Linked DNA regions of Bombyx mori. The protein of the gene in region 1 interacts with the protein of each later gene in a pairwise test. Links are inferred from orthologs where the notes say so. Each region holds a gene or a part of one and is shown on either strand. Other genes may lie near its edges.

Evidence for each region.
Region 2: the proteins of vam6/Vps39-like protein (region 1) and proteasome subunit beta type-5 interact in a two-hybrid assay, tested with the Caenorhabditis elegans proteins (2 studies listed by BioGRID). The link is inferred for Bombyx mori from reciprocal best matches to the Caenorhabditis elegans genes vps-39 and pbs-5.

Annotation. Positions count from the first base shown.
Region 1 is NC_085124.1:8,461,809-8,465,185, forward strand, and holds the end of vam6/Vps39-like protein, read right to left. Parts: intron 2,747-3,377; coding exon 2,612-2,746; intron 2,147-2,611; coding exon 1,991-2,146; 3' UTR 642-1,990; downstream 1-641. UniProt on the Caenorhabditis elegans protein: Plays a role in vesicle-mediated protein trafficking to lysosomal compartments including the endocytic membrane transport and autophagic pathways.
Region 2 is NC_085126.1:4,546,375-4,550,966, forward strand, and holds the start of proteasome subunit beta type-5, read right to left. Parts: upstream 2,959-4,592; 5' UTR 2,712-2,958; coding exon 2,568-2,711; intron 2,492-2,567; coding exon 2,390-2,491; intron 2,216-2,389; coding exon 2,116-2,215; intron 1,917-2,115; coding exon 1,723-1,916; intron 773-1,722; coding exon 634-772; intron 203-633; coding exon 30-202; 3' UTR 1-29. UniProt on the Caenorhabditis elegans protein: Component of the 20S core proteasome complex involved in the proteolytic degradation of most intracellular proteins. This complex plays numerous essential roles within the cell by associating with different regulatory particles.

The DNA.
Region 1 (3,377 bases):
GGAAGAAGGCGAGAACTTCTATCCGCAACCTCTCCCACTAGTTCTTTAGAGGCGCTTAACTGCGATAAAAAAACGGTACCACTATCCTACCCGTTTCTACCGTGAAGCAGTCACGCGATTTCATTTAAAGTGACAGTATTTATACTAACTAGAGGTCCCGCAGTAGTCGAAATTCGACTATAATTAATTGGAATTGTAAGTTTGTACACTATTATGATTGTATTTTATACTTCTATATTCACGAATTTCGCCAAGACTACACTATAAGAAATATTAACAAAGACAAACCATATTCTATTCTCAATTTGACAACAGACGTCAAGAACAAAAGTTTGACAATAAATAGTATGCATGCGTGTGTGCGTCAAATACATGGTATGTAGTGTGTGTAATGTTTTCTTTATTTATTTAATCTATCTTTTATGCATTATTTTAAAAAAATATTAGCGTTGTGCACTTCTTCTCTATATTCTCTATAAGTGTGAAAAATTTCATACTCCTCCGTTCGCGCAATTTTCTTAAAAAGGGATACAAAGTTTTTGCTTCACGTATTAATATATAAATGAGCTCGTTCGCCCGTCTGTGCCAAAAAAATATTACTCAAGTGTATTCACGGGAATTATCAAAATAATACAATCGAATAATCAAATTGAAAATAATTTTACTTCTTTTAAATAAAACTATAATTCTATTTATTTATAATGCGTTTCAAATAAGAATGTGCATGGACCTGCGCTATATTGTGACAGCTGTCAAATCGAAAAAAATAAGTAAAGTCAGTCAAAAAGGTGGGAATTTTTAAATATTATTTTTTAATCCAAATCTTTGAGTTTGCCGATTCCACTCATCTCACTGCTTCAGTAATCATCATCATCGTCGCCCATCGACAGATAATAGAGCCCGACAGTGTTGCAGCCTTGATTTTTAAATAGGTGTGTTTTTTCTTATATAATCTAAATTCATGCTTAATTTACCTCGACCAGTACTCATCATATCAAGAAAATTATATAGAGTGTATGGTTTATTAAAACAAACATATTAATAGTCTTCATAATTAGGCAAAAAATTCACTAAAATATAGAAAAAAAATTTTTTGTTGCTGTCCGTAATTTTTTATCGAACTTTGACAGATCAAGGTCATTGACTTGCACGTTCTTATATGAAACGCACTATATATGAGTGTACATAATGCGTTTGACGGATGCTAGAAAACTGAATAAAATTTCTAAATCATAGCCATATTATACAAAAACTCATTCACAATATATTATTATTAAATAAAATGTATTATTGCATTCTCTTTATATATTATCACGAAGGAAAATAGTCGATTTTCTCTTTTATCAAATTAGAGGCAGCAACTCTCGTTACAATTCGTTGCGTATTTAAACATTTTTACACCAACGAGATACCATATCGACGTTGACAATATTACAAAACTGTTCTTAGTTCAATGATAGATGTTTCATTTTAAATTTAACCTAAGTTAACGAACATTTTATTCTGAACGTAATTTCTGTCACGAATTACTTACAACTCGCGGAATAAGTTAACAATCATATTATCACAGTAGAGACATATCAAAAATAAATATTTTCGTAACAAATAATTATATTATATTGTTTGCTTTGAACATCATTTTAAATTTTGGTAGAGCTTTAACGAATTGATGGAAATAATATTGTATTTTTCACCATCATATCGCTTGCCTCCGAAGCAAAGTTCGCCACCATCACCGGTAACCATAGCGATCATCCAATGCCAGATCTATTCAGAGCTATCAGGCATTTGGCTCTGCTAATGAGTTTTCTTTCAAATTATTTCCTATGCGGTAGACAGCAGTTTGGCTGGCCAATAATTCTCAGGCAGGCTGAATGATCGCGAATGACTTCGCAAAAAAAAAAAAACAAAAACAAAAAAGAGTCTATCAATAAACGAAGAGCAGTTCTGAAATTCATTTCATATTCATTAGGTAAACGCCGGTAACATTCTATTTATCGCTTCTACACGAATAATGAACAATGTCACCGTTTGGATAACGCACGAACGCGCTCTGATGACCGAAGCGCTTCTTGCAAACTTGACACACGTCGTAGTCGTTTATAACAACACTCTTTGATTCGTGGTAATGCTTCAGCTCTTGGACCTAAAACATACAATTTGTTATTATTACCACAGGGTTGAAGATCACCCAGTCGCAGGATACTTCTTTTTTTTTTTTCAATAACCCGCACAGGTGAACCTTTCACTGTTCATGAATGAGGCCGAAGTTTCAATTGTATTGGATATAAGTTATTCCGCCTATCGGACCGAAACGCATAATTGGTTCGCGGCCGAAATGTTGCCTGCGGGATTGGATCACCGGCATGGTCGCATTGCTCGATAGAGTACATTAAGAACTTCGAACATTTACCAAAATACAGAGACACTGCAAAGTGGAGCATTTCAATTATAATAACAATTCCTATGTACAGAGCCGTACCCATTTGCAACCTATACTATTGATGATTACAGTATTATGTACATAATTACGTCACGGGACGCCTCGCCGTGTAGACCACGGAAGCTTCTCTTTTGTATAGTTAAAGATGAAATAGGCATTAGGCATTACCTGCATATGTTCCGCATACAACAGTCCTTTGAGTATTTGCATTCTCCGTTTCAACGTGAGTTGAGCCTCTAATGAGCTTTCCAGAAAGTGTTTCAATCGGCTAAGCGGCACCGAATCTGGTAATACTGCGAGTGCCTGAGAAACAACATTCAATACAGTAATACCACAACGATACTATTATTAGTCAACATAATTTTTAACAAGATGCAAAAAGGCCGAATGTATTTTGAGTTAACTACATTTATATTTAAACTTCTATGTCTCACATGTCTCACGAGGACATCAGAAATGACGAAGCTGACCTAAGCTGATGCGACTACAGGTAAAATTGCTGACAGTAATGAGTATTTTTTATAGTTTAGGTGTCTGGACGAGCTCACGGTTCACCTGGTGTTAAGTGGTGACCAGAAACCATAGATATGTAAATACCGCCACCTACCTTGAGATACGAGTTCTATCTAAATTTTTACAGTACAACGGCTGTCCCGCCCTTCGAACCGTAACGCATTACTGCTTCACGGCAGAAATAGGCAGGGTGGTGGTACCTACCCGTGCGGACTCATAAGACGTCCTATCACCAGTAAAATATTTATAAATATTTAATTTTAGGCATAAACCCAAATGAGTAAAGTGTCCGTAAATGAAAGTTATCAACTTAATTACTTGAGGCTCAGTACGGAGTGGATTTCTGTTTGTGTCCGTCTCATCTTTTAAGCATAGGTATTTGGGCAGGGCAATAAAAATCTATCAAGTGACTAATTAGTTG
Region 2 (4,592 bases), on another chromosome or scaffold:
ATACATTTTATTTCTTATACAAAAACAATTTAAAACTGATCATCCTTGATGCCCTTCTCTGCTTGGTACTTGTAGTGGAGGTCGGAGCAATCCTCGTTGGAGATGTTGACCCAACCCTTGTCGTTGATGTGGTACACTCTTATGATCCCGCCAGAGTACGCGTCGCGGTGAGTAGCGTGGTAAATCGCACGTCGACCCAGCTCTAATAAATGATGGAACTTATGGATAACAGATGTAGTGGTAACAGCAGCCTAAGGTCCTTAACAAACTAGAATGGTAAGAACACCCTAAATATTTTTGCTGCAGAACGGTACAAATCAAATAACAGCTGTCTCAGCATAAAAATATATATCTCTATATGTAAAAATGAGTTGTTGTTTGTTAGTCTCGCTAAAACTCGAAAACGGCAGGACCGATTTGGCTAATTTTGGCCTTAAATTATTTGTGGAAGTCCAGAGAAGGTTTAAAAGGTGTATAAATATGTAAATGCTCAGAATTAAATAAAAATAATAATTTCGTTTTCCCTTTGATGTGTCCCCCATCAGACCGATTCCTTTTGTTTATTTTATACAAAAGCTTAGGTCTTTTATTTATCGATTGAGGTCAGCTAGTTATGAATAAAATAATACAAACCTTGTGCGTCCTCATCTGACAGATCCCAGCTGTATCCAGAGTCAAGTACACCAAAAGCATACACAGAACCTGAGCCCACTGAGAACACCTTGCCTGGAGTGCGAGTACCTTCACTGTCTACATAGTATAGTTGTGCTCCCTGGATTAAATGAAAAATACTTATATGAGTCGTCTATTATCAAAGGTGGCAATCTGTGCATTTGGACAAAAAAATGTTATTGATATGTCAATACAGATTGATTTGAATATAATCGTCTCCTGCAAAGAATACGGTTCAAAACCTGCATTAAATAAAGGTTAATACTTAACCTGTTATTTATCTAAGATGTCGTTCAGAAGAGTTTTGTGACTGCCAATGGAATACAAAGTCAATAATTCGTTTTTCTGATTTACCAGTAATTGTCCAAAAGTCACATTGCCGGCTTTGATACTAGTCGACTCATATATACTATGAGCAATCAATGATCAATAAATTTAATTAACAACTCGGCCAAAAGTTTTTGACCCAATTAGACTCTATTTCAAAAACATATAAACATATTTTCAAAAATACTCGCTTATATAATTTGAAACTACAAAATACTTGTTTTAAGTATGCTTTTTTTAAATTATGGATTGAAAAAACCGAAAGCTGAAAGTCTAAATTGCATAAAAAGCATATTATAAAAGATTGTATTGTCTTGTGAGCCTGTATGGGTAGGTACTATCACAGAACCTATTTCTGCTGTAGAGCAGTAATTAATTTCAGTTTGAAGAGTGGAGCAGCCATTAATAAAACAGATTTAAACCTCATGTCTCAAAATGAGTTAGCGGCATTTATAGGCTTCAATAACTACTTAACATCGTGGCCCACAATGAGTTTGTTCACTTGTCTCAACATTTAAAAAAAAACAATACAATGTATTGCCAGGACTATTTAGGATGAATATGTTTGACACAGTCAAGACACAATTGGTGGTGAGAAGTTCATAATAGAGATCAATGTGGACAATTTTTTTCCAATTCTTGGGGACAAAAAAACATTTTCTTAATATCAATTTAGAGTTTGGCAGTAGTAAGTACCTACTAGTGGTCTTATTAACAACTTACTCTCTTGTCAATACCAGCTAACATCATTCCCATGCTGAGGCCCATTCCTTTGTAGTTGTACACCATGTTAGCCATGAGTTTACTGGCTGCTGCTACAGAAATACGCTCCCTATTCCGAAGCTCATAGAGACGGCATTGCTTTGCGAGTACTCTGTCCCAGTAGACACAGTCTGCTGCACCACCAGCGAGAGTACCTGATAAACATTATTTTATTATTAATTGTTTCAAGAATTTCATTGAATTCATGAGCGATCAAAAATGTTTTCATAGCAAAAGATATTAAAGAAACCTATTTTTTTATTTCATTGGAATCTCATTTTGGTAAAACTAAAACTCCATTATTTTTGTTTTTGTCTAAGTAAACAGTTATGCTCTAGAAACTTTAATGCTTACCAAGCAAATAGTCGTTGATTTCTACTATTTTCTTCATGGATTGAGAACCAATAAATTGGCCACCTGTAGCTCGAGAGTCGACGGCTAATAAGACTCCTCCCTGAAAAAATAATCTTTTACATCAGTAAGATATAAAATGAAAGAATGGTAGTATTTTTGTTAGCAAGTTTATATTTAACGAGTATTCTATAAATAATATATATTTATATATGGGTTGCAATATAAATTAATAATACTTAGTTTGAAAGAACTTCATATTAAATTATGAACTCACTTTGTATCGGAAACCAAGAGTGGTGGTGCCGTGGTCAAACTGAATTTTGATTTCCTTTCCAGTCTCATCCTTTGTGTTGAAGTGTGCTAAGGTTTCAGCAGGCTGTAAGGTGTAATATATTTTAATTATTATAAATAAAATAAAATGTTTTATTCTTCTATTTAATTACATTACTTACATTCGCAAATGGGGGAGAAGCGAGCTGAGCGCTGTTTACAAAGTTTTCACTGTAGCCGGTAATGTCATTATTGAATGATGCTAGAGAATCAACGGGTTTCAAGTTAATTTTTTCATTTAAACGGCAGAAATCGAGTAGAGCCATTTTTTGTTTAAAACTGTTTTCAATAAAGTCTTGATGAATGAATGACAAGCGAAATTTTCGAAAACGCCGATTTGACAAACGCAGCTATCGTTTGACATTTGACAATTTCAAATTGACAGCAGCATACACTTAATTTATTTGAGATGACAGCAGCACAAGTGTGCTTAGCATAGCTTACACATAATATTTGTGAGAAACATACATTTTCAATATGGAAACGAAGTCTTACATTTTTTTAATGATAGTAGACAACTGAGAAACAACATTTATTTTAAATACACCATGGTAGTTTCAATTTTAAATATATGAATACAGTACACTTGAAATCTTCCAATACAGGCTGGTAGAAAGTTATCATATGACAGCTATTCGTCGGTAGATGGCAGTCATGGATGAAATTTTGCATTTTTGCAAGATTGTATGGTTTTAAAACTGGAAATAAATGTCAAAGATATCTTGAAGTAGACAGGTAGAGTATGTAGATAGATAATGGGGGTAAGTGCGAATTATTGATAAAACTATGAGTATCCTTTTAAATAGAAAACCACACTTTTATTACAGGTAGCTTACTTTTTATTTTGAATTATTTGTTTTTATTCCTAGAGAGGTGATCGAGCTCACGTCCGTATTGTATAAGATTAAGTCCTTTGCAATATTTTTCTGTTCATAAACATTTTGCTCCAGATTGCCAAGTTTTCTAAAATCTGGGTGAGCAAGTAATCACACGCAATCATTTTTGGAAGTTATTTATATTTTACATTGATTACATCTTACTATACTAATCTATCTAAATTTCCATTGAAATACATGAAATTTAGAAAAAAATTGCCTGCTACCAGTAATACCAGGTGGGGCATGAACTTTTGGCGATAACAACAGAGGAAAGATTTCTTTACTAAAGATTACTGAGCGGGTGAAATGCTTGGTAGACCGGCGATCCGAATGTAAGTGTTCGGAAACTGTATGCAATATAATGTAAATTTACCTTGAAGATTTCGAAATTAATGAATCTGTTAAATATGTGTTTCATATTCGTGAATTATTTTGTTTGACCACGGAGAAGAAAGAAGTCTTCGTAGTGTTTAAAGATAGAAAAAAAGATAAGAATAAAGAGCATTATATTGCAATCAGCGTGTTCGAAATGTTACGATGAAACATAAATAGCTCGTCAATTTAATCTAAAAACCGCTAGGAGCAAGAAAATATTAACCCTTCTTTTATTGCGAAATTTTGATTTGTTATCTAGGCAAGTAATGTAGGTAAATGTCAAATTGTATAAAAAGTACACATGCAAGATATTTCTTTGAGAACGACGATCGATTCTACTTAATATGAAATTGACGAGAGATGTACATAAAAACTGCATATTTCTAATTAAATACGTACTCAACAAATGTTCACGATTGACTTCCGCGGTGAAGGAATAACATCGTGTAATAAAAATCAAACCCGCAAAATTATAATTTGCGTAATTACTGCTGGTAGGACCTCTTGTGAGTCCGCACGGGTAGGTACCACCACCCTGCCTATTACTGCCGTGAAGCAGTAATGCGTTTCGGTTTGAAGGGTGGGGCAGCCGTTGTAACTATACTTGAGACCTTAGAACTTATATCTCAAAGTGGATGGCGCATTTACGTTGTAGATGTCTATGGGCTCCAGTAACCACTTAACAAAAGGTAGACTGTGAGCTCGTCCATCCATCTAAGAAAAAAAATATACATAATATATTGCTGTTATGAAGATAACACTAGATTTGTGGAGACAATGCTTACTGTATAGATCAGTCTTTTAGGTTATGTTTTGTTTTAGAACCTACCTGTAAACCTTGTGTACATTTGTTTTATTTCAGGGTGTATTTTTTTTATTGCCCTTGTAGGCAGA